3 linked regions of the Macaca fascicularis genome follow. The protein of the gene in region 1 interacts with the protein of each later gene in a biochemical or structural test. Links are inferred from orthologs where the notes say so. Each region holds a gene or a part of one and is shown on either strand. Other genes may lie near its edges.

Region 1 (10,192 bases):
AAGCAGCAATCAGCTCTGCACAGGACACAGGACACCATCCCATTGCAGGGCACACTCACACACACCCACATTCACTCAGACTGCAGGCTTGCAAATGAACCTCACCTGCACAGCTTTGGGATGTGGAAGGAAACCAGGGTATCTGGAAGAAACCCACACAGACAGTGGCCCTGGCCTCAAGTGGATTTTTTTTTTTTTTTTTTTTTTTTGAGATGAGGTCTCACCCCGGGTGGAGTGCAGTGGTGTGATCATGGCTCACTGCAGCCTCGACCACCCAGGCTCAAGTGATCCTCCCATCTCAGCCTCACAGGTAGCTGGGATCACAAATGTGCACCAACACACCCAGCTAATATTTAATATTTTTGTAGGGACGGAGTCTCACTATGTTGCTCAGGCTGGTCTCAAACTCCTGGGCTCAAGCAATCCTCCTGCCTTGGCCTCCCAGAGTGTTGGAATTACAGGCATGAGCCACTATGCCTGGCCTCATCAATGTTATCATGAAACGATCTTGCACAAAATGATGTTATTCAAGGATTTGCTGTATTAGCAAAGGAGTGTATTGGCTTCCTAGGGCTGCCACAACAAAGTACAATAAACTAAGTACAATTAAAACAAGATAAATGTATTCTCTTACAGTTCTGGAGGCTGGGAGTCCAAAATCAAAGTGTCAGCAGGGCTGGCTCCTTCTTGGAGCTCAGAGGGAGAATGTGTTCCATGCCTTCTCCTGCCGGTGGCTGCCAGAATCCTTGGCATTCCTTGACTTGGACCTGCATCACTACAGTCTCTGCCTCCTTCTTCCCATGATATTCCCCCTGTGGGTCTGTATCTTTTTTCTTCTCCACTTATACGGACACTAGTCATTGGATTTGGGGACAACCTACTCCAGTATGATCTCATTTTAACTTGATTAGATCTGCAAAGACTCTATTTCCAAATAAGGTCACATTTATAGGTATAGCAGGGGTTAGGACTTGAACATATCTATTTTGGGGGAATACAATTGAACTCTCAACAGGCAGAAACAGATTTTTTTCATCTGACAGCTTCTTACAGGTTTTAATTTCAGTGACTCTGCAAGAGGGGAGGACATACAAACCATTTTTTTTTTTTTTAAAGACATATTTTATGTAACTGGTGTTCTAAGGAACATGTTTGGGGAAAAATGCCTTGGGTGAGTGAGGAGACTATTTAGCAGTGGCCACTCACTTTACCAAAGATTCGCAGTGACCGACCATATAGTCTGGTTCCCTGATGGTAGATGCTTCTTATGGCTGTCCCTCAAAAGATTATTGGCAGTCCCTGGAGCCTCTTTGTAAGGGTTCCCATACCTGGCTGGTGAGACTGCAGTAGTATGACGGGGGAGACTGGCCAAGCAGGGCATCCTGGAGGACAGTGTGTTTGCGTTCTGATGTTTGTGGCTACAGTGCTCTGGTTTCAGACATCCTAGGACTTCCACGATGTTGCATTTTCTGAATTCTGAAAGGGGATATACAATCTGATTCAAAGGTGAAATGAGGGACAGTTGACAGGGCTGTTTTATTTGGATGAGTAGGTTGTACAATGCATGTCTCTAGGGGTGGAATTCACATAGTGGAGATGGTAGATCCAATTTTCTTGTAAGAGTGTCCTGTTCTCAGAACGCCAGTATTTTGTGACAATTTTCCAGCAGGTGGCATAAAGTGTCTTGAGGAAGGGGCACCTTTTTCTAGTTTTCACAAAGGTGACATATGGTATAGAGGTGGCCCTGAATGGAAGGAGAAGCCATCATCAACTCTTGGAATGTGAGATCTGAAAGGCCTCTGAGAGAGTATTGATCCATCTCTGGAATTGTTAGGACTCTTGCTTACAAATAATAGAAACCCAATTCTAACTGGCTAACACCAACAGGAAACTAATAATCAGAATGCAAGAACAGGAATGCAGCTGGGACTCAGGAGCATGCTGGATCCAGGTACTCTGACATGGTCAGGACTTACATTTCTCTCTTTACCTGCTTTTTTCCCTTAATCCAAAACATGGTGGTAGACAACTTCTGGGTGTCACATGGTGGATGCTCAGCAGTCAGCAGAGACTGACCTCCTCTATGCTCCAGTGTTAAACTCTCAAAGACCTAGTATTTGATAGCACAACAGGATGACTATAGCAAAAAATAATTTAATTGTACATTTAAATTAACTGAAATATTATAACTGGATTGTTTGTAAAACAAAGGATAAATGCTTGAGATGGATACCCCATTTACCCTGATGTGATTATTATGTATTGTATGCCAGTATTAAAATATCTCATGTACCCCATAAATACATGTACTATGTAACCACAAAAATTAAATATAAAAAATTAAAAAAACTGCCCCGTTACAGGAGAGGTCCAAATGAAAACACTTTGAGTTTAACTGGCCACAGGTCCGATGGTTTCCTATCCACCACACAGGTAAATAGCTCAAGGGCGGGCTGCCCGCCAGCATAAACCTTTGAGTGGCAAATACTACCAGGGTGGCCACGGAAAATGCCCTCTTGCCGACCATAATTGTACAGAATGTGTGTAAATAAAAGCTAAAAGGAAAAAGAAAGAAAATTCTTTAGCTCTTTCAGAAGAGGCAAACGGAGAAATGAGAAATATAAAGAGTTAGGCACTATAAAAATACTAAATACTATAAATAGGGCATTTCCCAACCCATTAAATATTTTGATATTTTCCAGGGATGGAGTCAGAGATGTTCTGGAATGGTGAAGAAGGAGACTGCATGAATAATTGGGGTGGGATAGCAGAGAGTTTGCCAATCCCTACCTCACTGGGTTTTAGTTATGTTTCAGTTAATCTGCCTCATTTATGAGGCAGGTATTGTTAGTTCCACTTTTCAGATGAGGATACTGAGATTCAGTAAGGTTATTACCCAAACGTACGAGAAAGTCAAGATTTCACAAGATTTCAACCCAACTCGAGTTTTCTAATACCAGTGCATATCAACGGTATTATTAATCCAGACTGAGCGATGAATTAAAAACTCTGACGTGACGCTTCTGCGGGTTTCTGGAACAAGCATGGATCACCTGGGGACGGGGTGAAGTTGGCGTTGCCCTCCTTGCAATAATAGATGCTATTGTGTTGGAGCAGTTATTATGGATCAGATACTGTGCTGGGTCTATGATCTCATTTAGTCCTTACGACAATCCTGTGAGGTTGGCATTACTATGTTCTCTATTTTACAGGTTAGGAAACTGAGCCTTAAATAAACTACTGGCTTTTCCTGAGTATTCTGTGAATAAATTCCTATTACTGAAATACTTAAAAGAGCTAGATTAATAAATTAACAAAGCCCTCTTCGTAGCAACTGTGCTGAAATTCCACACGCGTGGCGTTCCCAGCCTCTGCCACTCGGTGACGTTACGATCAATCCCACCACTTTGTTCTCAGCCAAGCTTCACCGCCGCTATCTCGCGAGAGCCGTAGTTTCTTCCATTCGGTTTTGGACATGCGCGGGGCGTAAGGCGCTTTGGCCAGAGTGGTTTGATGGTTTTTTGTCAGTCTTCCTACAGCTGAGCTTCCACAAGACACTTTTTCCCTTTCAGCCACCCCAGATCTCGCGAGACTTGCTTTTTGCTTTTCCCCCTCCCACCTTGCGCCTGCGCAGGTCTTCAAAGCAGAAGGTCGCGCTTGGAGGAAGTGGCGGCTTTGAGTCCCGTGGCCCAAGCGCCGTTACTACTTCTCTGAACCTCCTGTCGGCTGCTTGCCGAGACACCCTGCCGCCAAGATGCCTCGAATTATGATCAAGGGGGGCGTGTGGAGGAACACCGAGGTAAGTCTCCTTTTCCCGCCGTCCGCTGCCCTCCGCTCCCCTCTAGCAGCTTTTGCGCACGCGCGCGGAGCTTGGGTAGGCGAGGAGGAGACCCTGTGGCATCTGCGTGGAGGGCAGCCTGGGGGCGGACCCGCGGGGCCCTTTCCGTGTGTCGGGGCCCTTTCCGTGTGTCCGGACCCGTGTTGTGCGAGCGCCAGTGGGACAGGGACCGTGATGTAACCACCTGGCTTCTCAGCTCCAAGCTCACTTGTTAGGCCCTTAGTGAACTTTTGTTGACTTGAATACGCCCCCTCCCACCCCCGCGCCCCTGGAGGAACTCAGAGTTCCAACTCAGCGAGAGTTGGTCTCCTGGGGCACCATCCACTCTTAGTCCGTAGTCCGGGCATCACGGCTCTGTCCGATACTCAGAAATAAAGAAGTTGCCGTGGCCACAACTTTCTTCATTGACTTCCTTGCAGAGGGGAAGCAGTTTGAGTACCAGGTTCAGAGAGCCCGTTACCGCGTCTCTCTGGTTACCTGTTATCAGGGCATAACCTGTGTGCCATCCCGACAGATCCCAAGGTCTGGCTCTTTCTGTCACTGCCTTTGCCTGGATGGAAGCCAGAAAGGAAAAACTGCTTAGGATAGTCTCTGCTTCCAGAAACGTAGTGGATAGTGCCATTGGTGAGCCAAAGGGCAGTAGAGTGGGAGTGAAATAGAAATTAGATTTTAGTGCATTTTGTGTTCAAAGTGTACCGAATTTATCAGTTTCTGGAGCACATCATATCTTTTCATGCTCCGTGTCCTTTTTTCGTTAAATTTTATGCCTTCTTTTTTTTACGTCTTTTGCCTTCCTAGCACTTGACATCTTTATGATCATCCTTCAAACCTAGGTCAGAAACACTTATTGGAATCTTTGTAAGAGTTAGTTGCACCCCCAGTATTCTCATGGTACCTTTTTCTTCCGTTTGTTAAAGCTCGCTTTGTCTTTTTGTAAGCATCACATCCTCTGTGTGGTACTGGTTAAGTTTCTTAACTTCTGAGAGCCTCAGTTTTCTAATTTCTCTAAATTGGGATAATAATACTTACCTCACTTGAGGATTACACGAGTTAATACGTTTGGAATATTTAGAACAGAGTAGGGCACATAGTAGCCTCTGAGTAAGTGCTGGTTCCTCTTTCACCTCACCAGATGGCATTGCGAGAGGACCAGGTCTTGGTATCCCTAGAACCTAGGACAGTAACCAGCATGAAGTAGGTTGCTTGACAGGTGTTTGCAGAATGAATCAAGTAGAGTAGGTATCTGCTGTATCTGTTTAGTTGAAAATGTATTTAAGTGTAGTAGTACTGCAACCGAGTTACAAATACAGACAGTGAAAACTGCCTCAGCTTGCTCCGAGGGAAGCAGTCTGTTTCAATTTGAGAAGAGATGATTTCTGAGGGAGAGACAGATATAAAATCAAGTAACAGTAGGATTCCTATGCAGTGGTCAAAGCTCTGCAGTCTTTTTAAAACATTATCTTTGATCATGGGAGATGCAGAGGATGGAGTGGGGTATCTCAAGAAGCATGTACCTCAAATGCAATGTGGGAAAAAAAGCCTAGAAGTAAAATCGCCCAAGTGCATGCATCTGTGACTCCATTAACCTTCTTGTCTGTGACTTGGCTTGCCAGGCTGCCTTGAGATTGGCGCATTCCACGTTGTGATGGGTGCCCTGGTGATATGGTATCCAGAGACGGGGGGTCTCTGGAAGGAAAGCTGACTGGTGGGGTTGGGGTAGAAATATTTAATTCTTAGGTTAGACCTGAGATTTGGGTCATAAGTAGGGTTAAGGGACTGGCGGGGAAATGCCATGTGTAAACTTGAAACAGGAGGCTTGGATTGGAGAATACATTCACCAGAGTCCCAACTTGCTTCTTGAGGCCTGGATATGTCCTGTTTGATAAGACCTTTCCTGAAGACCTGTTTCAAGGCAGATGTTGCGGAAGTGTTTTTTGAGTGACTATAAATGAATGAGTTATATCTTTTTGTTGTTGTTGTGTTTTTTAGTTGTCCTTTTTGAAGAGAAGGACAGCCACACGTTGAAGAATACTTTTTCTTAATCTTTGTCGTAAAGTAGGGTTTCTCAGATTGGGCTATTCCCATTCCCAATTTATTGAAGAGTGTGGTGTAAGGGTGGGTAGATGTCTTTCTAAGGGATTTCTTCTTAATTTCTTAATCCTTGGTTGCTGTTTATTATTATAGTTAATAAGGTTTTCATCCTTAGTCTTTTAACCTAGGGGGTGTGAATGTGCATGTTATGTGTCTGTCTAACAGCCCTATCAGAGTTAATTTAAATTTTGTGTTTTCTCACTTTGAGTTTTGTGACTGAATGTACTCTTTGGCAAATTTTTTTAGGATGAAATTCTGAAAGCAGCGGTAATGAAATATGGGAAAAACCAGTGGTCTAGGATTGCCTCATTGCTGCATAGAAAATCAGCAAAGCAGTGCAAAGCCAGATGGTATGTACCAGTTTAATAAGTGGAAAACAGAAAAGGAGCTTAATCGTGATGATGGAAAATGTCAGCTCTGTGAACCTTATCAAAGGAAGCAGACATCATGATATAACAAGGCATGGAGTGGGAGATGGAATTTGGATTTTTGACTTAGCTGTCACTTTCTTCCTGTGTAATCTTAGGCAAGCCATTTTTCTATCCCTCTCCCCTGCCCTTGTCTTCTCCCAATTAGGGATAATAATACTTGATGCTAACTGATAGAGATGTGAGGTGTCATCTAAATGGGTTAATGTATTTGAGAGTGCTTTGTGAAGCATACAAAGTCTACTTTCAGGGACAGATGAGCCCCAGCTTGTAAATTAATTGTGTTCTAGAAGTGCATAAGTTAGCTGTTTTAGGACTTACTTTCTCAAAGAAATAAGTGATAACGGCTGATTTTCCAAATGAGCCTACAGTAGTTGAGTTTCCTCATAATGCAGTTGAAATATTATATATTTTATAGTTAATATGTTATATATTAAGCATATTTAATATGTTATATATGTTAAAACATAAGCCAGCCCTGAGCCTGTGGTGTCACCTCTTTTTTATTTTTATTTTTTGAGACGGAGTCTCACTCTGTTGCCCAGGCTGGAGTGCAGTGCCGTGATTTCGGCTCACTGCAAGCTTCGCTTCCTGGGTTCACGCCGTTCTCCTGCCTCAGCCTCCCCAGTAGCTGGGACTACAGGCTCCTGCCACCATTCCCTGCTACTTTTTTGTATTTTTCGTAGAGACGGAGTTTCACCGTGTTAGCCAGGATGGTCTCAGTCTCCTGACCTCGTGATTCACCCGCCTCGGCCTCCCGAAGTGCTGGGATTACAGGTGTGAGCCTCTGCGCCCGGCTAGTGTCACCTCTTAAATGATAGGATAGTGGACACGTGAAGCTATTTAGTGTGTTCTTAGCATGAGTTATTTAGCACCATCCCCCAACTCATGTGGCGTTAGGAAAATACTTTGGATTGTACAAGAATGACCTAATTTCCTCGGCACCTGTGTAGGGGAAAGGATCAGAATGTAGAGATTGGCCAGGTGTGGTGACTCACATCTGTAAGCCTAGCACTTTGGGAGGCCAAGGCTGGGATCACCTGAGGCCAGGAGTTTGAGACCAGCCTGGCCAACATGGTGAAAACCCCGTCTCTACTAAAAATACAAAAATTAGCCCGGTGTGGTGGCTACTTGGGAGGCTGAAGTGGGAGGATCGGTTGAACCCAGGAGGTGGAGGTTGCAGTGAGCTGAGATGGTGCCACTGCACTCTAGCCTTGGTGACAGAACGAGGCTTTTTTCCATCTCAGAAAAAAAAAGAATGTAGAAATTGGCTGTTAAAGAGGAAGATGATTTTTAGGCTGAAGAAATGGTCCCGATTTCTGTTTGTCTTAGTGGTACCAGTTCCTGCTCTCATATTTGGTAGGACGTAAGTCCTGTTTGCCTGCCTGTCATCCAGCTAAGTAGACTGGATGGAAAAGGTGTGCTGGGTGGGGAATTAGGAAAGACGGAGGGGATGTCGTAGTAGTTTTACTTAAATTTTAAAACATATCAAATGAAAGGATACGGTGAATTTAGTGAGTGTAAGTCAAATGCTTAAAGAAATAAGCCTTGGTGTGAGAACCAAAGCATGAGAAAATAGTATGAAAACTGGAAACACTGTACAAAACGTGAGGTTGTATTGTCTTCCAAATATTTCAAAATTTCTAGAAAAGTGTAAAAATAAATAAAAACAAATGATAGTTGAGAAAGAAAGCATATGATCATGATACAGTGAAGTAACCTTTTTAAACCATTACTAATCTTGCATAATTAAAATAAAATAGAATGTGATGAGATGGTGAATATTGGCTGGGTTAAGTGTGACCACACAGCAAATATTCTGTTGTCAAAAAGAACAGTTTTAGTAATTGAAGGATGAGAGCATTTGTTTTTCAGACACTAGAAGTCAGTGCATCCATTGTGCAAATTCGATGTTTATGCCAGGTAACTGACTAATATATAAAATGATCTATTTTTAATAGGTATGAATGGCTGGATCCAAGCATTAAGAAGACAGAATGGTCCAGAGAAGAAGAGGAAAAACTCTTGCACTTGGCCAAGTTGATGCCAACTCAGTGGAGGACCATTGCTCCAATCATTGGAAGAACAGCGGCCCAGTGCTTAGAACACTATGAATTTCTTCTGTAAGTGAGTCTTCAGAAAGAGCATAGAATATATGTATATGTTCTGAAAGAGGCTGAATAAACTTTGAGTATTTTTTCTCTTAAACTTTTAATTATGGATGTGAGTAAAGCCAAAGCTAAAGCCATTGGATAATATTTTCCAAATCTCAGATGGTTGATCAAAATTATGCCTTCTATTATATACTTCCTAAAATAATAATTTAAAAGATTTATACAAGTCATGCATGTTCATCATAAAAAATCCGGGGAAAAAATAGTAAAAGAGCAAATAAAAGTCACCCATAATCACACTGCTAAGAATTAACTACTGGAACGTTTTGGTTCTTTACTAATAGTTTTTTTTTTTTTTTTTAATTTGTATGGCTGTACTGCATTTGTGACTAGGATCTGTTTGGGTCCTATTTCAGAGTGGTTGAAACCAGTCACTGAAAGTAACAAATTTTAATATCATTTATTTCAGATGAAGTGATAGTAAAAAGGCTTTATGTTGTTAAAGCCCATCCATTGTTTTCTTAGGGGGGGAAAAAGAGTGTCAGAACTTGGAAATCTGGTAATTTTAACACTAAATGGTATTATAGTGTGAGTAACTCCTATGGGCTTTTTTCTAGGGATAAAGCTGCCCAAAGAGACAATGAAGAGGAAACAACAGATGATCCACGAAAACTTAAACCTGGAGAAATAGATCCAAATCCAGAAACAAAACCAGCGCGGCCTGATCCAATTGATATGGATGAGGGTAAGTGTATGCTTTGAGGAATTTATTTCTTTGGTAACTGTAAACTCCTCTGGCCTTTTTGTAACTCTTTTAGTTCCTTTCTTAACTCCTCTACTTTAGAATTCTTTTTTTTTTTTTTTTCTGAGACAAGGTCTTGCTCTGTTACCCAGGCTGGAATAAAGTGGCACAGTTATGGTTCACTGCAGTTTTGACCTCCTGGGCTTAAGCAGTCCTCCCACCGCAGCCTCCTGAGGAGTTGAGACTACAGATTTATGCCGCTATACCTGGCTCATTTTTAAATTTTTCTGTAGAGATGGGGTCTCCCTGTGTTACCCAGGCTGGTCTCAAACTCCTGGGCTTAAGCTGTCCTCCCTTTTCTGCCTCCCAAAGTGTTGAGATTATAGGTGTGAGCCACTATACCTGGCCCCCAATTTTGTCAGCGGTGTTCTTATTCTAGGTATCTTTCCAAATATGTCCAGTGTTTCTGTTATAGAGTAGTTGCTTTTTCTGAACAGTGCCCCTTCATCTTCTGTTTCTTAAGTTCAGTTAATTAAGCAGTGTTACTGGGTGTGGTGGTGTGTGCCTGTAGTGCTAGCTGCTGAGGAAGTTGAGATGGGTCGATCTCTTTAGCCCAGGAGTTGAAGGCCAGTCTGGGCATCATAACCTCTTGAGCCTAGATAGAAATTGGAGGCCAGCCTGGGCAACATAATGAGACCCTGTCTTTAAAATTGATAGTGTGATTCTATTGTGTAGATTTTTCAGAGGCTAGAGGTGAGCCCTTGAGGATTCTATTTCTCATTCCTATTCTATAGAGACAGACAACAAGTCTCAGTCCTCCTATTAATTACTTATTTGACTATAGGCAAGTTATTTATTCTGTGTGAGAAGGCAACACTGTGAGACAGTGATGGAGACTTAACAGTGATTCTGTGAGGCATTGAATCGGGGATTCCACAATAGAAAGTATATGGAATCAACTTAAGTGTCCATTAATGGG
Region 2 (10,149 bases), on another chromosome or scaffold:
AATCTTTTTAATTTACACATCAGCCACAATGTCAGTGGTCTATCTGTGAACTGCCGGTTCATGTGCCTTATCTTTTGAGTTGTTCATTTTTTCTGTTGATTCATGAGAGCTCTTTTCATATTAAGAAAATTAGCCCTGTGGCTAACATGCACATTACATGTATTTCCCAATTTTTCATTTTTCTTTTGTCTTTGCTTATGATATATGCAGACTTTGGCCTCATTTTCACTGAGTGGAATCCTAACAGCAGCATCTGCTAGGCTGACATGTTTGAAAAAGGCAGCAGCTAGAATGCCTAATGCCTCTTTGAGTTCCTTCACCAGCTGCCAGGCATTCAAAACATCACACAAGTTTATAAATCCAGGGGCTCCATTTAGAACTGTGATGGAAAGCTTAGGCTTCAGTGTGTATTACTTGCACAGGAGTCTGAGGAGGGATCATTCTACACTGCAAGGGCATCTGAGATATTCCTTTCCTGTACTATTTCCTGAGGTAATCTGAAATTGCTTCATCATATTGTGCCATATAAGTGAATGTGAATGCCTTCAAGGCTAACTGGCGTCTAGTCTCCAAGAAGGTGTCCTTACTCTTGGAGCTCTGCCTCTCTGTGGACACTGCCTCATAGTCCTCTGACACACCACTGTCACTGGATTGTGGTTTTTGGTGGCATCTCTCAGTAAGGTTACTCTACCAGTATCAATTTGCTTAACAGCGTCTCAACTGTTACACCTGGAGAAGCCACTCTCTTCAGGAAGGGATAGAGATTACAGGCAACAATCAGGCCTGGCCATATCAGCATTACCTTTTGGAATATTATGAGCAGGAACCCAGCATGGATTTCAGGATACAAAGTTTTCACAGCATTTCAGGAAATCCTGTCAGCTCAGAGACCTCTCTGACTGCCAGACCGGTATCCTTGACAGCGTTTGCAGTCCCTCCAGAAGGAGCAGTAGTGGGGCCATATGCACAGGGACGAGGGAGGTCCCTGATTCATGTTTTCACATCTCCTAAGTTTTTTTCATTTAGGTCTTGCACATTTTAAAATTTATTGCTATTTTAAATAAAAACCCCTTTCCCTGCTATATTTTTAACTGCAAAAACGAAAACTATTGATTTTTAATAACATTTTTCTACTCAGCTTAGTGAATTTTCATATTGTTTCCGATAGTTTTTTCAATTGGTTTTTTAGGTATAAAGTCATACCATTTGCAAATAAAGGTAACTTTGCATCCCTATTTCCTACTTAAACAATTTAATTTTTTTGTCCAATTGAATAACTAGTACTTTCATAAAAAATAAACGTGGATAATAGTGGTGATGGTGGACATCCTTCTATTATGACTAAACAGTAAGAATATTTTTAATGTTTCTCTGTGAATACGACACTGGCTTTTGGTAGCATATTTCTAAAAGAAAACCTAAAGGTGTCTAAAGAGTATTATTTAATATAAATAAAATGGGATCTATAAATATTAAGTAATAATAGTAAAATATTCAATCAAATGCCTTACTTTTCTTAATTATTCATGTCAAGAGGTATTTCTGCTAACTAAACTGAATATTAAAAATGTTTCTACAGATAAATTGTATTTTGTAACTAAGTAGCTAAGTTTTATAGAAACTAAATAAAATTTAGAATTCACTTACTTAAATGTAATGGAAAATATTTTTCATTGTCGTAAAATTTACAATGACCAGAAAAACAGAACTGAACTGACCTTTTATAAGCAATTGTCTGCATTACACATACAGAAAGACTGTGATTAAATTAATGGTTGCTGAAATAGCATCTTTTCGGGGTGAGCACATCACACACACACACACTCCCCCCCACACACACCCACACACGTACACCTTGCTAAGATATTTATAACTGACAGTTTATAACTGATAGTACAATCTAATTATTCCCAAAGTCTTCCCAGGCATTAACAGGAACAATAGCCCCTTCGCTGTTCCTTATAGTCCCAGAAGCCTCTGTTTCAACTATGCTACAAGAAAGTATCTGCTGATACTACCTTAGTATCTAGGCAAATTCATAGCATTGTGCTAAACAATTAAAGATCAAACTTTTGGAAGAAATGTCCAAGTATCATTTTTCACAGGTTTTGACCTCAGAAATTCAAATAAACAGTGATAACTCCCACGATTACTTTCTTTTGAATTCATGAACAATTTCAAATATGAAATTTAAGGGCTGGACATACTGAGTCACACAACTCTAAAGAACATTGCATACAGTGTTTTTGAAAGCTTGTATATTTAACCCTTTAAGTTGAAACAGGAAAATAAATAGTAATATTTATTATTTTATGATTATAAGAATCAGAAAACACTTCCTATAAAAAGTATCATAAAAAGCTGATGACAATGGCACTCGAATCTATACTCACATGACCTATCACTGTTCAAGAGCAAAGAACAATATTTGAAGGAGAATAAAAAGACTTTCTGTATTGGTGAGTTTAAAAAATCTTGCCTAAAGAAGGAGGGCTTTCCTTAAAACTTGTATTCTTGGTTTTACACAGACATAATACTAATATTTATATTAATAAGTTACTTGCCATGTCTGCTTTAAGGAGAGCCCTGAGGGCCCTTATAAACAGCAGTAGTGACACCTGCTGTTCAAATAAGGCAGCTTGGGGTGTCAGCCAGGCCATGTGTGTATCCTGGAGCCCTTCAAGAATCCAGTGAAACTTGTAGATCCTTTCTCAAGAAAATAAAACATATTCCCATATAAATACAAAATTTTCCCACAATATACATAATTTATGAATCCCTGAACTAAATAATAGGCTCACTTGAGTTCTATATTTATCTAAAATATTGTAAACTTTCAAGTGGATGACATAATTCTATAAATTCACGACAGTGTTTTAAAAGGAGCAAATTCGAGGCAATTTACCTCAATCATTACCATGTTGTTATGAGTCTGGGCCTATAAATTAATGTCTCCAGGATGATTAAGTATGTAAAAAGTTAATAGGTCCAACCAGACAATTAATATTTTCCATAGATATTAGTCTTGCTTAGGTTTCTATGGTTTTATTGTCATTTCAAATCATTGTTTTCTATAGTTATTATTCATAGGTGAGTATATTATTTAGTTCCTCAAGTATATATTTTTTAATTATAGTATTTTCTTGCAAGGAAATACCATCACCGGCCACTTTTACAGAAAATCAGTTCTTAGGACAAACTCACAGTCAAATTCAGGGATGTTTTATCTTCAAGCAAAAACATGACCTTAAGGCCGGGCGCGGGGTCCCATGCCTGTAATTCCTGCACTTTGGGAGGCCGAGAGGGGCAGATCACCTGAGGTCAGGAGTTTAAGACCAGCCTGGCCAACATGGTGAAACCCCGTCTCTACTAAAAATACAAAAATTAGCCGGGCGTGGTGGCGGGCGCCTGTAATCCCAGCTACTCCGGAGGCTGAGGCAGGAGACTCGCTTGAACCCAGGAGGAGGAGGTTGCAGTGAGCCAAGATTGCGCCATGGCCCTCCAGCCTGGGCGACAAGAACAAAACTCCCTCTCAAACAAACAAAAAACCATGACCTTAATGTTTTTAATGAATTTCCAAGTGACGTTGATTTACACTGCTATTCTTTTGCTAGATTGTTTCCCCCTCTCAAAGTGTATGCAGTACGCTGTCAGGACAGATCAGTGAAACTGAAACAGGGCCAGTAAAATGTTTTGTCTATTTAAGTTTGCAAATGCCCAAGTCCATCCATTTTTCTTTTTACATAGAAAAATAATTAGGTAGGGTTGATCAAAACCGGAGATTTTACCAGGGTAGGAAGCAAAAATACCAATACTTGGCACAAGGATATGTATAAATAAAAATGGCTAAAGTCTCCAATTGTGTCTTTCTTCTACCAGCTTTGAAAAGCTGTACCCTGGCATTGTTGAAGCCACAATAATCAGCAGACAACTAGGAAATGTCCAAGAGCTATGTAGCGTTGAGAAGTTAAAAAAAAAAAAATCTATTAGCAGAAAATGAATATGGGTTTTTCTTATATCTACATGTCAAAATTTTCCAAATTAAAACAGCCATTCCTCAACATTCACTCAGCAAGTGTTTACTGAACTGTTTAAGCGAAATTGTTTTCAGGTGTTAAGCCTACAAGTGTCCAAGTGCTTCTCGCCAGGATTGGAACCAGGAGACAGAAAGCAAGCAGGCGACCTCCAAAGAGATCAAGGCAGCGGAAGCGCCTTAGATAGAGCCCACGGGAGTTTGCTCTCCAGAGAGCTTAGGCTCTCTGAATAAAAAGCATTAAACTCCGGGGAATACAGCATGAACAACCAGGGCCCCAGCCAAGACATTGAAGGCTGAAGGTAAGGCAGAAAACATAATTCGAAGACTTCTTCAGAGGAGCGAGTGAAATCCTCCAGTCAGGCGCTTCCAGGTGTCTCCCCTCTACAGCCTCGAGCCTCCGCCCTAGGGGCGGTCCTGAGGAGGGAGACCCGCCTCTTGATCCCAGAGGGCCGGGGGAGACTAGCGCGCGTGCGCAGAGCTTGCATCACATCCGCCGCCTGGCCTCCCAATTCCGGAAGGTGCAGCACAGTTGTGGCGGCGGGTACTGCGTTAGTGATTAGGGTTTCTTCTCTGCCGGAGGTGGGATACGCGGTAGCATCATGGTCGAGGTAAAGTGACACTGGGACTCTCAAGAGTCGTTTGTCTCTGGACTGTTTTTCTTTGGCAGTGGGCTTGGGGGATTGAGAGTGCTTGGAGTCCGGAGAGAAAAGAGGCTACGAGGGAAGCTGTTTGGCCAAGGCCGGGTGGTCTCTTCATCGGGTTTTCGGGGAAGGGGTAGAAGCCGGATGAGAACCCGAGTCGGAGGTTCAGTCCGGGCGCTAAGCCTGAGATAATTCGTCCAGTCCTCGTTTGACTCTTGGGAGCTGGAAACTGTCCTTGGAGGCGGGGCCTCTGTTGGTGTTCGACCACTGGTACTCGCCGCCCTCGGGGCAGTGTCAGTGATTCTGTGCCCGAAAAGATTGGCGGTCTTCTCTATCTTGCGTTCAAGTCGTCTCTTATTTCAACTCTACTCCCAGAAAAACTTGCCATTCTTTACATCTTTCCCTGGCATGAACAGCCAGCCATTCTGTTAGCTGGTCTTGTCCATGTTACCCCACATGTTTATTGATTCCATTCACTTTTCTCCGTATCCACTGCAGTCCACCTTAATTGAGACCAACATCATCTTTCACCGGGCCTGGTGCATTAGCCCCCCGTTGATTTCCTTGCTTCCATTTTGTTCCATAAGTTGTTCTGTTTAAAATGTAAGTTGTTCATACCTTTCTTGTTTAAAACCCTTTACTGACTGTGTTGCTAGAAGAAAACATAGGCTGTTGTAATAGTCTAAAATACCTTACCTAATCTGGACCTTGTCTACCCTTGCAACCACAAAGCACCATCTCATCCACCATATACAGCTGTGCCGCCCTTCTTGTATTATTTCAGTTAACTGAACATTTTTTTACATGACATTTCCATCAGCCTGGTTCGTTTTTATCTCTGTTTTGTGCAAGGCTAACTCCCTTTCTGCTTAAATATCACTTTAGTGAAGTCTTTCACAATTATACTTAGTCCTTCGTTTCCCGACCCAGTGCCTTGCTTGTTGCCCTCATAGCACTTATCAAAATGTGGAATTATTTTACTTTTTATTTGTCTGTTTCCTCTTGAGCACAGGGACCATGACTACCTTTTATCATTCTATTGTGAGATTCTAGCACGATACCTGCCAGACACACAGTAGGAGCTCAGTAAATATTTATTGAGTAAATGACTAAACTATGGCATCACTCAGTTGCTATACCTGAGGTTCTAGCCAAAGAGGAGCTTCCTCCTCTTCTCTGAACTTGACTCCTGTAGCTCGCAACAAGTAGCTATGGTGAGTGGTATAAAGCTTTTTACATATTTAAACATGTGAAGTGTATAATCAATCTGACGTTAGGTTATGATTTGTGTAATTTGTAGATAGGTGTGTAATTACTTTTTTTTTTTTTTTTTTTTTTAAGGAGGTACAGAAACATTCTGTACACACACTTGTGTTCAGGTCATTGAAGAGGACCCATGACATGTTTGTAGCTGATAATGGAAAACCTGTGCCTTTAGATGAAGAGAGGTTGGTATAGTTTTTTTTTCAATTGCTGAAATATTTAACATTCTAATACTGGGGGAAGAGAGCAGGAAGAGGGAGACCTTTAAAGATAAACTGGCAATACTCATGGGCTAATTCAATAATGAGTGGTGTTTTGGCATAATTTAAGCTGATTTAACTTTTTTTTTTTTTGGCCTTTTACAGTAAAAGTTCCATTAATTAATTGCATTTTACAAATACCCAGTAATTAAGAGAGTCCCTTTTAGGTATTTTATTTTATAATCAATCACTTTGTATGTGCTTTCAGCTTCCCGCTGCTCTCAGAGCCTTGCTGAGCTGAAATTGTACCTGGCCAGTACCTCTACTCCCATCTTTTCTCGTTAGTATGATGAAGATTTTTGAGTGGTGGCATATTTTTGGTTCTACATATCCAGCTCCAGTCTGGGATTGCATTATGTGCAGTGTTCCTTCTTTGTCCTTTACCCTTTTAAAATCGACTTAACTCCTCAAACAAGCATTTATATTTAATTTGTAAAGTAGACTATTTTTAAAAGTAATATAAGTGCATTTCTTTTTAAAATATTGAACCAATTAAGTACTTTTCTTAGTTCTAACTAACCTGTTTGGATACATCTAGTAAAGGTTGCTGTAGAGTTTTTACTATATTTATATTTTGAAGGAAAGCGTATTGACTTTGAGGTTTCTTAAAGGGTATGTTAGTTTCTATATATCTTTCAAGCAGACCCTTGATAATTTATCATAAAATATTTTCTATTAGGTAACAAACTAAAATATTACTTAGGTTTAATGAATGCTGTGTGGTGGAATGTGAGCAAAAGAACAGATATGGTGGGGAAATGCACTTGGAAATTTTTGATTCTTTTAAATACTACTTAAAATCTTACTAGAAACTTTTCCTACATGATTGGGCAAACTTAAGCTGTCTAAGTGTTTGTTTTAAAGTATTTATGGATACGTTCTTATGTTTATAATTTCTAAATAGTCACAAACGGAAGATGGCAATCAAGCTTCGTAATGAGTATGGTCCTGTGTTGCATATGCCTACTTTGAAAGAAAATCTTAAAGAGAAGGGTCCTCAGAATGCAACGGATTCATATGTTCATAAACAGTACCCTGCCAATCAAGGTGAGTATGGTATTATCAGAAATGTCAGACGTATGTGTGAATTTTAAAAATAGAAAAATAAAATGTGTTATTTTTGCCCCTGCTGGCAGGACTTAGGTGTGGTCATACAGTATTTAATGGCTGTACCAGTATTATAATGGAAGTTTTTATCCTCGTGGGAATACTGAGACATTGGTTGATGACTTTTTTCTTATAGGAAATAAAAATGGTAGTATAATGATGGCAGAGATTCTTAGAATGTGGAGAAGGTCACAGTAGAGATTAAAGGAAAAAATTGGAGAATATTCTTAACCTGTGGGGATACCATCTATCCTGTCTATAATTCAGAAAGATGAAATTAAATACTGAAATCTTAATAAATGAAGAGAATTCAAGCTTCCACAGGAAATTTGCTTGGAAGAAATACCAGAGTGGATTATCACTTGATAGGAGGGCTTCTTTGTATACCATTGCTATATAGCAAATGGACAAGGACATGGTTTACAGAGGTCAAAAGTGACCAATTTCCCTTATTTCTGAGGCTTAACTTTAGTTGAGAAAATGTGATAGATCCAGTTGAAAATGTAATATTATTTGATACTTTAAAGAGATGATAACTTTTATATATAAGATAAATTCACTACTGTTGATTTTTTTTGTCTTTTTTCTAGGACAAGAAGTTGAATACTTTGTGGCAGGCACACATCCATACCCACCGGGACCTGGTTAGTGAGCTGTTGTATATTGAAAATATCTTAAAAATGTCACATACATTTTCACTAACGAGCCAATAATGACATTCTTGTTGCCTGTAAAATGCAAGATAAGTTCAATAGCCAAGCATCCATGCATAGCTTTGTAGGTGATAATGAATACTCATGTGCCTTTATTCAGCAAACATTCTTGAGTATGTATAATTTTTCAGGCAATATGCTAGGAATTCAAAGACAGTAAAACTGTTGCAGGCCTAGACAAATTTATTATCTGGTGGTTTAGGCAGACATGTAAATATCACCAAGCTTATAAAAATGATGGGAATGTTAGAGGCAGTATCTTAGAAACATGTCCTCTGTCTGTATTAAGGTATTGGCCCACAGATGGAGTGGCCAGTATAACCGGGTAGAGGACAAAAGGCTTAGTATATATAGAAAGTGCAGGAAAATTGGGTGCTTCTGGTTGTAGTAAGTTACAACCACTCTTGGAAACATTCTGTTTGTATTTGAGGAACTGCTTAATACTGACTTTTGAAACTAATACCCAGATATAATGGAAATTAACTTTACTGTTCTGGGCTGCTTTAATACCTTGTAGGCTGTGATCAAATTTGAGTTATGTGTTACTAAGCAGTATTTATTGTAGAAATTAAAAACAAGATGAGCAAAACTTAATCAAAATTTGTATCACTGCCTGGAATTAATAAACGTTTGGAATGTTTTCCTTCATCATTTTATTTTAAGTGCATGTAAATGAATAATACAAAGCTACTAAAAGAAATTGATTTTTCATTTTAATAGGGGTTGCTTTGACAGCAGATACTAAGATCCAGAGAATGCCAAGTGAATCAGCTGCACAGTCCTTAGCAGTGGCATTACCTTCTCAGACCAAGTATGAAATATTATAATTACAAAGATCTTAAAAGCATATTTCACTGTTCACGTTTTTTCTTTTTAAAATTTTTTTATAACTATTGTATGACATTTTCCTTTATCAGGACTTATAACAATTTAAAATAAAGGGTTAGTTTTGCAGAATACATGACTGGAGGCATTAATTACTTTGAATATAATATTTCTTTTGCCTCAGGACTGATGTAAATCGTACTGCACCTAGTGGAAGTGAATACCGACATCCTGGGGCTTCTGACCGTCCACAGCCTACAGCGATGAATTCAGTAAGTTTTTCTGCGTCATATAGCAGGTTTCTAACTTTTTAAACATGTTGCCTTATTTCCCTCTGATCGAAAGTCTTACCTTAAATACTAAAGAAATGAACACTTTGGAATTATTAAGATAAATAGCAGCCTGAACTAGTCATTCATATTTCATAGCCCTAACACTCAAGTTGGTAGTAAATTAACATTTTTTGGAATGCTGTTATTTGTCTACTTGTACGTTGTGTATAATATGTATTTTGATAAAGATAATGTGATGTTGGTATTTATTGCCCACTATTAAAAATGCAAGGAGAGTTTTTCTGAAACCTGTGTTAGTATGCATTGCATATGAAAGTCTTTTTTTTTTTTATTAAATTTTAAGTTGGTACAGTTATGTTGAGTGCTATTAGTGTTGTACTATTCATGGGCTATACAACTAGTCTTATAAATGAACATTTAGAAATAAGTTTATCTGTAGGTAAATGGCAACTGGTATTAGTATGGTAGAAGTAGTTGTAGAATTATTTTCTATAGTTATTTTATTGATTTATTTTTCTGCCATGTATTTTATTATGCTGCCACTTGAAATAAGTGCTGGCTTTGCTTCTCAGCTCATTATGCAATTGTTTTGACTTCATGAAGTGAATGAATGTGTAACCCCCACGTCTCATTTCTTCCTTTATCTTCCATTCAGAGCATATCTTCTGTCCAGGCTCTCTACCCTCCTTATGAGGGTGTAATTTAAGCTTCTTGAGGGCAGGAACTTTATGGGCTTAATTATTTTTTGGATGACTAGATGACTGCTAACAATAGATGGTATATCAGGCAGTACACCTGTTAAAATAGTATTTAAATATTGTATTAGAAGATAAATAGAAGGAACTATCATATCAGTCTTTGCTACATTAAATCCATAAGGTTAAAATATGACAATGAATGGCAGTGGCATTAATACACTTAAAATGATTTTAATAATGCGAGCTTACATGGAGCATTTACTACTTTTTACATCTTTGTAGTAACCCTATGAAATAGGCACTATTCTTCCCA
Region 3 (10,080 bases), on another chromosome or scaffold:
CTCAATAAAGACTGGTTCAACAATTAATTACTGAGTCTCCCTCCTTCTAGTCTGTCCCACTCCAACCCATCCAGTAAGTGTCTTCCGGAGGAAACCTCTAAAAGTGTAGTTATCACTCCACAGTTCAAATGCAAACACATGCTATTGTGCTGCCAGCCCAATCACCACCCAAGTTTAACCACCTTGGGTTCAAGGCCTCTCCTAAACGGATCCATTTTATTTCCTACCACACATCCAAGTACGGTACTTGAGATGCGTGGCCTGTCAGGCAACCTGTCTTTCAACCAACAATCAAAGTTCCTGCTATGTGCCAGGCACAATGTGGCACTCTTACACTCTGAGAGCAAAAGTAACCAGAACAATGATGGTTCCTACCATCATGAAGTTTACACTCTAGTGGAGAACCCAGACATCAGATACTTATAAATAGATAATTAAATGATTACAGTTCTTTGAAGTGGTTTGGAGGACAATTACAGTTTGCTGTGTGGACTAAATGTAAACCAGGGACCATGAAAAGGGCTCCAGAGGAAGTGACATTTAAGGCGAGACTGAAGTTTACATTGGAGGGTTTGAGACAGGAGGGGGAAGAGGGAGGGAGGAGAGGAAAGTGGTCCGGGCAGAAGTTCTGAAACCAGCCAGAATGGGTATGTTTGAGGAATTGAAAGGCCAATGTGGTTGGAGAGAAGATAAAGTGAGACCATGATGGTCAGCACGGACCAGATGGTACAAGACTTGGGGTCAAGTTTCCTCATCCAGAAACTCTCTCTCTCATTCATGGCCTCAGGAATGACCCCTGGTTGGGGCTCAGAGAATGATACCCCAAAGTATGGTGCTTTAGTATTGTTTCTGAGCAAATAGAGGCTTACTGCCTGATGCACATAGAAGCCAATACTATGGTACCAGCTTTTGCGTGGAGAAAGGCTTTATTGCAGGGCCACCCAGCAAGGAGACTGGAGGCATGGCTCAAATCTGTCTCCCTAATTTTCCCTAACTGGGGCAAGTTTTAAGGGGTCAGAGGGTGATATGGTTTGGCTGCATCCCAACCCAAATCTCATCTTGAATTCCTACATGTTAAGGGAGGGACCAAGTGGGAGGTAATTGAATCACAGGGGCAGGTCTTTCTTGTGCTGTTCTTGTGTTAGTGAATAAGTCTCATGAGATCTGGTGGTTTTGAGAAACAGGAGTTTCCCTGTACAAGCTTTTTGTTTTTGCCTGCTGCCATCCATGTAAGACGTGATTTGCTCCTCCTTGCCTTCTGCCATGATTGTGAGGCTTCCCCAGCCACGTGGAACTATAAGTCCAATTAAACCTCTTTCTTTTGTAAATTGCCCAGTCTCAGGTATGTCTTTATCAGCAGCGTGAAAACAGACTAATACAGAGGGCAAGGAAAAGAATTAGGAATTTTTGCTTGGCAGGGTCTGATTGGAGGGCTTCAAATTTGACTACATGGGTATGTTGAGGTGGATTTTCGCCCTGGATCTTTCTCGTCAATAGACCCTTTGCTCCTGAAACAGTTCTAGCATTTAGGTTCTGTTCATGTCTAGGTCTTCTTGGTACTACAGGGAAGAATCATTGGTTCTGGATGTTGTTAGATGTCAAAGCATTTTCTATTATGCATGTCCTGCTGACATGACTTGGAGTTTTGGCTCTGTCATACCTACAAGAGAACATGACATTCTATTATCAAAAGAGTAGGCCCAGTTTGGATTGGTCCTGAGGTTACAGCATGCTGAGCACTTTTGAATGAAAAGAAATGGGAAGGTCTTAGAAGCTGCCTTAGAACCAAGGACTTTCTAACCTTCTCTTGCCCACTGACCCCCATCCTAAGTGCAGGTAGAAGCTCTCTCTAGAAGTTCCCTTATCTCAGAAAATTTCTTCCAAAAGAAGTGCAATTGTCTCAAATCCCTCTTCACAGGAAACTCATCAAATAACCAGAAAAGATTAACCACTAGAGAAGAATAAAAACTAAAAGTCATCAACTCACCACTACACCTAGAGAGACTTTTAATCTATTCTTCTGAGGGAGCTATAACAGATTACCTGGGAGACTTTATGAGTATAAGACAACCTTTGTTCACAATGGAGTTCTGCCCCTCACCTTCCCACAATTTGTTGCCACCTCCTCCAGAGCTCATAAGAACTTTGTCCCAAGGCATTGTCTGTTCTTGGGGCTCATTCATTTCCCCTAAAAATTATTTGCTAGCCCTCAAAATTGCCTACATTTCCCCCATCTCTCTCTTTCCTGGGTGCCATTTAAGTAAGCATCAGCCACCTGTTCCTTCTTTGAGCCTCATATTTTGTATGACTGCTGTGCACACTTGCACACTAATACACTTGTATGTCGTTTCTCCTGTTATTCTGTCGTTTGTCAGTTAATTTCAGCAAATCTTTAGAGGGCAGAGGAGAAACTTTTTTGCTCCATACCCTCATTCAGTTCTCAGCGAAAAAAAAATCAGCTCCTCAAAGATGCACTCTCTAAGTGCCCTGTCTAAAGCAGCCGTTCCTCCAATCCCCAGCACCTCTGTCTACTTTGCTCTGATTTGTTGCATTCATAGCACTACTACTCTGGAATTTTCTTCTTAAGTGTTGATTGTCTCTGTGCTCCCACCACTCCCAGTACAGTGTAAGCTCCAAAAGAGCAGAAGCTGTGTCTTTCTTGTTGACCTTTTCTATCTCCAGTTTTTAGAATAGGGCTTGGCACATAGGAAGTACCCAATCAATATTTGTTGGATGAATGAAATGCCTGGGGAATAACATGAATCGATATTTCATTCAAAGCGGATCACTGGCTGCTCTGTGGAAAGTAGATTAGGAGGAGGAGGCCAGGCTGGAAGCAAGGAACAAGTGGCAAGCTACTTTGTTGGTGCAAGAGAGAGATGAAATGCCCTTTTGCATATTAACTCCTCATAAGAGTTCAGCGAGTTAGTTCTACCCCTGTCATCACTCCCTCTGTTTTACAGATGAGGAAACTAAGGCATAGAGAAGTTCATACAGTCAATCACCTGGGTGGTGCTAGGATTTGAGCACACAGTCTGACTTCAGAGTCCATGCTCTTGGCCACTATGCCATACTACCTTTTGTACCTGTAACTTTTATTTTTCTCTCCAAGCTTTTGCTTACATTGTTTCTCCTTCTGGAATGCCTTTCCTTCTCCTTCTCCTCTGAATACTGCCCACCTGTCAAAGTCCCTCTCACTCACACATCCTGTTCATCCTGCCCGTTTGTCTTGATACCTTATAGTCCACACCACATGTCTTTTGCATGATTCCTGAGAGTATCTTATCTTACAGATATCCACAAAGAATCATACACTATCTGAGCTGGAAGAGAAACAGAAAATACAAAATAAATTGATAAGAGGCCACTGGTTTGGACTGAGCTCTTGCGCTAGGCCTAACAGACCAAGCTAAAAAGAGTCCTGCTGAAGTTCCACCCCAATGAGCTGAAACTAAGATCTTTATGACCTTCTGAGAGAGAGTGTGTGTGTGCATGTGTGTTGGCAGGGAGAGCTAAATTCCCAAACAGGCAAGTTTTACATGGCATGATAAAGAAGTACCCTCCACTTTAACCTTTACAAGAAAAGTAATTTTGAGATTACCAAATGACCAATCCCATTTTTGTTGTTTCTGTTTTCCTCAGTCCTTTTCTGTCTAAAAAACCAAGCTCCCCTGTTCAGCTCATTGGAACAACCATTAGATTTTATAGTGTAAGGCGCTGCCCAATTTTATAGAATTGCACCCTAAGTCCCAGAGCTACTCTGGAGGCTGAGGCAGAAGGATCACTTGAGCCCAGGAGTTCCAGGATGCACCTGTGATAGCCATGATTGCTACGATTGCACCTGTGAATAGCCACTGCGTTCCAGCCTGGGCAACATTGCCAGAGTCCGTCTCTTAAAAACAAAAACAAAAACAAAACAAAACAAACAAACAAAAAACTTTAAACTAAATTTGTTGTGATTTTGTCTTTTGACAAAGAAGAAAGGGCAGGGAAGCCAATGTGAATTGCCCCAAATCACAGAGCGAAACGGTAGTAGTCAGGACCAAAACGCTGTCTTAGCCGTTTTCTTAGTTCCTGTACCCATCTGCCTCTGTATTTTTAACACCAGGCCATCCAGCAGTGTCTCTTAAAGGGTGGCCCGAGAAACACCTGACTTAGAATAGCGTGGGGGGCAGTCTGTCTACGCAGATCCGAGGAATCTGCATTTTAACAATGGGAAATTGGGAAATTCTCGCGCACACCAAGGTTTCAAAGACCAGGGTCCCGTGACACAGTGCCGCACAGTTGTCAAAACAAGTGCTGTCCAATTGCTTTGGTTTTAAGTTCTCACTGCATCATGGGAAATGTAGTTTCGAGTCTCCTCTCTTCCGACGCCCCCGCCAATCCCCGGGCGCTTTACGGAACGAGCCGAGTCAATCCGGAAATAACCGAGTGTTCGTGGCGGGCCCTTTCCTGCCCGGCTGCATTCTGGGAAAGGTCCATTTCCGTTAGGTGCTGGAGGCAGTGGCGCGCGGCTGTCCCCATTCCCACGTGAAGCGCTACGCGAGCATCGCTCGACTGGCGGCTCCCAGCTCGCAGCTGAGCAGTCCCGGCAGCAGCGGGGGACCGGAAGTGGCTCGCGGAGGCTCAGAAGCCAGTCCCGGAGTCCGGCGTGTGGCGCCTGGGAGCGCGGCAACGGCGCCATGTCCCTAATCTGCTCCAGTGAGTGTTGCCTGCGGCCGAGCGCGGGTCGCAGGAGGCCGGAGAGCGGCGCGGGAGCGTGTGCGGGCCACTGCGGCGCCGGGGCCGGGGCCGGGGTGGAGGCGGGAATGGGGCGCTCCAGAGGCAGAGCGGCGGCCTGTCAGCCCCGGAGCCCTCCCCTCGGAGCGGGGTGCATTTGCGCAGTGCTCCGCAGTTTACATAGTGCCGGAGGTTTATTGTCGCAGGCATTACTGAGGCAGGTCGCCTCATTCTACCGAGTGGAAACAGGCCTGGACAGAGGGAGCTGGTGCAGGGGAAACAGCCTTGATGTAAGAGTCAGGAAACCCGAGGTCTTGTCCAGGGTCCGCCTCCTGTTGGCTTTGTGAATTGGCTTAAGGCTCTGTGCCTCGGTTTCCCCATCTGCAAAATTGAGAGCATTGCACTGGATATTTTGTGAGGCCTTGCTCGGATAGTCGCAGCTTTTGCAATTTGTAAAGGTCACATGATGAGTTAGAGGTAGGCAAGGCTGGCAGCTAGGTATATGGCTCCCAGCCTTACAGTGTATGACTAATTAAAAACAGCGCACATTTATAAAGCCCTTATTGGTTTACAACGCGCTTCCAAGTCTAGGATCTCATTTTATCCTCACAAGAATTCCCTAAAGGAGAAAAGATCCTGGTGTTGCAAATGAGGAGGCAAGGCTCAGGAAGAGCGGGGCTTATCTAAGAATGCGTAGCTAGTCAATGGCAGAGCTGGGTGACGTAGTTAGGTGACACGGAGTTTGGAGCCTGAATCCTTGCTTTTTCCATACCTTCCACTATCTTTCCCTTTGATATTTTATCATGACGTACATACGTTTTCCTTTCCCTTTTCGTTGTTTCATCAGATTACTCGTTTCCCCTCCCTTTTGCTATTCACCTCCGTCTCTTCTCAGAACCTGTACGTTGATCCAGAGAGGGGGAAGAAGGAAGGGAAATGATGGAAAAGGAATCTCTCACATTGAAGAAATTACAGCTCGCAAAGTACCTTCACATTCATTGTTTCCTTCCAGTCTTGGGAAAGCTCTCTTTTACGTTCCCCAGCACTATCTTTCCTGGCAGGGTTCACTCATTCGTTAGATGTTTACCGAGTGCCCTGGGGGCATCTGCATTGTACTGGAAGTGAGAGACCAGCTGTAATCCTTATCCTCAAGGGGCGCACAGTCTATGCAGGCAAGAGTGTAAATGATACCTCTATTGCGGGTTGTTGTGAACATGAATTACTGTACTGTATGCCTAGAATTGTGCTTGGCACATAGACATGTGCCATGTAAATATTTTTATTGTAATGATTGCCACTTTGCTCCTTGGAATCTTCCAGGTGATAAGTGTCTGCCTGTATCCTAATCAGTTGACTGGTAGCTGGCAGACGTCAATAGCTTCAGGATGGGGACTGGTCACCTAGAAAGACTAAAGGGTATTAGAAAGTTGGGATTTTCAGTCCTACCTCCCACTTACCTGGGGAACGAGAGGGGCTGAAGTTGTCACTAGTGACCAGTGATTTATTGAATCATGCCTTTGTAATGAAGTTTTCATAAAAATACAAAAGGGCAGGATTCAAAGAGCTTCTGTATAGCAGAACATGTGGGCGTTCCTGGAGGGTGGGGTGCCCAGGGAGGGCATGGGAAACTCTGTACTCCTTCTCCCATACCTCATCCTATGCACCTCTTCATCTATACCCTTTGTAATATCCTTTATAATAAACTGGTCAACATAAGTGTTTCCCACAATTCTGTGAGTCACTGTTGAAAATTAATTGAACCCAAAAAGGGGGTCATGGGAACCCTGATTTACAGCTGGTAGATCAGAAGAACAGGTCAAACAACCTGGAGCTTGCGATTGGCATCTGAAGGGGTGGGGGAGTCTGGTGGGACTGAGACCTCAACCCGTGTGATCTGACACTATCTCCAGGTACCTGGTGTCAGAATTGAATTGGAGGACACCCGGATGGTCACATCTGTCACAGAAGTATTTTGTTTTGTGAGAGAATGGGAGAAACTGAGTTTGTTATTCCTATATTCTCAGACTTTATGATTTCTTTGATAATCCCTCTGGAGCTATAGACTAAGATGGATGGAAGGGATTTGAATGGCTTCATGTGTGTCTCCATGTCATGGAGTAAACTGTATTCATAGAGTACACAATCATTGTTCAGATATTAGGTGGCGATAATGGACTGCTGTTCTCTAGGTGCTTGGCACATAGTAGTTGTTAATAATTATTTGTTGACTATCTGATTGTCAGGAGACTAAAGGAAAAGCTAGTTCCACAGCTGGAAAGCGTTCTGGGGCCAGTACAGAACTGGCTTAGGGTCAGATGTCTTGCTTTTTGCTAGTTGATTGTGAGGATGCCTAGTCTTGTTGGGGCTAATAGCAGATGAGGAATCCTCTAGGCTCAAGATTGCCTTCACTCCAAGCTCACTGCCGGCCTTTTCTCTACAGTCTCTAATGAAGTGCCGGAGCACCCATGTGTGTCCCCTGTCTCTAATCATGTTTATGAGCGGCGGCTCATTGAGAAGTACATTGCAGAGAATGGTACCGACCCCATCAACAACCAGCCTCTCTCCGAGGAGCAGCTCATCGACATCAAAGGTGCCTATTGGCTGCCTTAGTCTAGGGCCATCTTAGCTCAGAGCCTGAGAGGATGGGAGGTGGTGCCAATGCACTGGAGGAGGAGATGGTGGGCTGTTTATGGCTAAAAGGAAAAGATGTGATGGCAGGGGAGGTCCCTGGGTTATGCTCTTCATACCTACTTTCCCTTTCGGCAGTTGCTCACCCAATCCGGCCCAAGCCTCCCTCAGCCACCAGCATCCCGGCCATTCTGAAAGCCTTGCAGGATGAGTGGGTGAGTTCCTGCAAGAGAATTAGCATCTTCCCCACTTGAAGAGAATGCATCGCTGAGTTAGGACTTGGGGGTGGGAAGGATGGAGAATTATTTAGATAATCATCATCAGGGTTTTGTGACATCAGGGTTTTGTTTTATTCTTTGTTGTATCCCCAGCACTGAGAGCGCCTGGTACGTAGTAGGTGCTCTAGAATTATGAACTGAATGATTGAATACATCCTGCAGGACTGTCTGGCACAGTGCCTGACACAAAGAGGGCAATCAATAAATAGCAGCAGCAGCAGTGTTGTTATCCACTTTTAGAGAGGTGACGGCATGACAGCTGGAATTTGCCAGTAAATTAGGGAAAGTAGGGATGGGAAAGAGCTGACTGCCACTCCTGTCTGTGTGCCCAGTGTTTGGCTTGGGGTAGGAGCTCAAGAGTGTCTGCTGGCATATTCATGGTGCTCGGATATTGTTTGGGTCACTGATACTGGTCTAGGCTGTGGGATAGGAGGCAGCATCCACTCCCCAAGAGCTGGCTCCACTGGGTGCTCCCTGCGCCCCCCGCCTCAGCTCACAGTAATATTTGCCTCTCCCAGGATGCAGTCATGCTGCACAGCTTCACTCTGCGCCAGCAGCTGCAGACAACCCGCCAAGAGTTGTCGCACGCTCTGTACCAGCACGATGCCGCCTGCCGTGTCATTGCCCGTCTCACCAAGGAAGTCACTGCTGCCCGAGAAGGTGCAGCCTGCCCCCTGCCATCCCCCACCCTGAGCTGGTTCTGCTTTGTAATATCCCATTTCTAACATCGTCTTTTCTCTCAGCTCTGGCTACCCTGAAACCACAGGCTGGTCTCATTGTGCCCCAGGCTGTGCCAAGTTCCCAACCAAGTGTTGTAGTAAGTGTCCCCCTTCCCTTACCACAGCCCATTTGTGTGCAGTGGCCCACAGAGCTGTCCTTATGTAGGTGTCTTTGGTGCTCTGTGCCCCTCACCCTCACCTTTCTTCTCTTCAGGGTGCGGGCGAGCCAATGGATTTGGGTGAGCTGGTGGGAATGACCCCAGAGATTATTCAGAAGGTAAGTCCTGCTCTCACCTGGTGGGAGTGCTGATGGGCCCTTACTTTTCCCCATCTGTCTAGAGTCCATCGTGACTAAAATCGCTATGCTTTTGGGAGTTGAGTGGTGCAGAGCGTGGATTCTGGGCCCAGATTGCCTGGGTTTGTATTTTGATGCCACTACTTGTAAGCTACATGACCTTGGCTTCCTTAGCCGATTTCCAAGTTTCATTTCTGTAGCTTCTAAACTGAGAATATAATAATATCCACTTTATAGGCTTGATGTGGGAATCTAAATGATTTAATTACTGATAAGTGCACCTTTTAGCCCTTATTGTTTTGGGTATTATTTGCAGATAGTAAACTACTTTTATATATTTTCTTGCTTTTTTTCTATGAGGGCAATAGGACAGGAATTATAATCCTTATTTTACAGATGAAAGACACATCAGAGGCAGAGCTGGGCTCCTGATTGCAAGTCCAGTGGGATTCTCATTTGCAGGGCTTTTTAGTGTCTTTCTGAGCAGTTCAAATTGTCAGCATGTGTCTGAGCCCTTGGCTGAGTGGCATGTAGACCTATGGGAGCTCTACAGTCCTGGCCTCCATTCCTGCTCTGCTATTTATCACCTCTGCAACCTTGGGCAATTGACTTCACTTCTCTGAGGCTCAGTGTCCTCAGCTGTAAAATAAGGTCATCAACACCCCCCTTATAAAGCTGGGATGGAAGTAAGAAGAGAGAATGCCTTTAAGCCTGTAATGTAGAAATTGGCAGATAGCAAATTCTGGGTGTTGCTTGTGAAAGCACAGGTGTGACCAGCATCCAATGTGCTTTTCTCCTTGCAAGATAATTTGTCTCACATTGAGCCTATTCTTCCCCAGCTTCAAGACAAAGCCACTGTGCTAACCACGGAGCGCAAGAAGGTGAGTTCTCTTTTGAAGCCAGGAGAAAGAGCTGGCCTGGTGGGAGGCAGTTGACCCCTTAGGAGAAAGGGGGCTGGCTGATCTTGGATTCATTGCTGCTGTACTTTGGGGGCTTTTTCATTTTCTCAGAGAGGGAAGACTGTGCCTGAGGAGCTGGTGAAGCCAGAAGAGCTCAGCAAATACCGGCAGGTGGCGTCCCATGTGGTGAGTGTCTGGGTCTTCACTGTCTTGGAGACAGCCCTCCTGTTTTGTGTCTGGGGTGGGTGGGCCAGCATGGGGAGTGCTGAGTACAGAGCTGTCCCGGGCTCCTGGCACTGTTCCTGGCGCTGTTTCTTGCCTGGGCTGCTGAGCTGTCAGGGCTCCTCTTCCTGCCCAGTTGTGGGTTTCCCAGTGATGCAGTGAAGGAGTTACCGCAGCAGGCAGATAGCCAAGAGATATGGATAAGGAGTAGAAGTAACTCTTGCTCCCCTGAGAACATGGGTGACTGGGGATGGCAGTAGGGGAGACCTGTGGCTTTGTGGCCTGCTGTGATTTGGCTGTGACAGGGTTTGGTGTGTCTC

The links.
Region 2: the proteins of CDC5L (region 1) and PLRG1 form a complex in vitro, tested with the Homo sapiens proteins (3 studies listed by BioGRID, with this or other methods). The link is inferred for Macaca fascicularis from reciprocal best matches to the Homo sapiens genes CDC5L and PLRG1.
Region 3: the proteins of CDC5L (region 1) and PRPF19 form a complex in vitro, tested with the Homo sapiens proteins (2 studies listed by BioGRID, with this or other methods). The link is inferred for Macaca fascicularis from reciprocal best matches to the Homo sapiens genes CDC5L and PRPF19.

Annotation. Positions count from the first base shown.
Region 1 is NC_088378.1:127,128,412-127,138,603, reverse strand, and holds the start of CDC5L (cell division cycle 5-like protein), read left to right. Parts: upstream 1-3,632; 5' UTR 3,633-3,754; coding exon 3,755-3,799; intron 3,800-6,175; coding exon 6,176-6,279; intron 6,280-8,318; coding exon 8,319-8,480; intron 8,481-9,088; coding exon 9,089-9,216; intron 9,217-10,192.
Region 2 is NC_088379.1:159,462,951-159,473,099, reverse strand, and holds the start of PLRG1 (pleiotropic regulator 1), read left to right. Parts: upstream 1-4,549; 5' UTR 4,550-4,635; coding exon 4,636-4,644; intron 4,645-6,018; coding exon 6,019-6,125; intron 6,126-6,408; exon of another isoform or gene 6,409-6,480; intron 6,481-7,104; coding exon 7,105-7,247; intron 7,248-7,897; coding exon 7,898-7,951; intron 7,952-8,740; coding exon 8,741-8,831; intron 8,832-9,029; coding exon 9,030-9,117; intron 9,118-10,149. UniProt on the Homo sapiens protein: Involved in pre-mRNA splicing as component of the spliceosome. Component of the PRP19-CDC5L complex that forms an integral part of the spliceosome and is required for activating pre-mRNA splicing.
Region 3 is NC_088388.1:13,363,893-13,373,972, forward strand, and holds the start of PRPF19 (pre-mRNA-processing factor 19), read left to right. Parts: upstream 1-4,480; 5' UTR 4,481-4,682; coding exon 4,683-4,701; intron 4,702-5,614; exon of another isoform or gene 5,615-5,891; intron 5,892-7,159; coding exon 7,160-7,309; intron 7,310-7,485; coding exon 7,486-7,562; intron 7,563-8,143; coding exon 8,144-8,285; intron 8,286-8,368; coding exon 8,369-8,442; intron 8,443-8,558; coding exon 8,559-8,621; intron 8,622-9,478; coding exon 9,479-9,520; intron 9,521-9,649; coding exon 9,650-9,724; intron 9,725-10,080. UniProt on the Homo sapiens protein: Ubiquitin-protein ligase which is a core component of several complexes mainly involved pre-mRNA splicing and DNA repair. Required for pre-mRNA splicing as component of the spliceosome.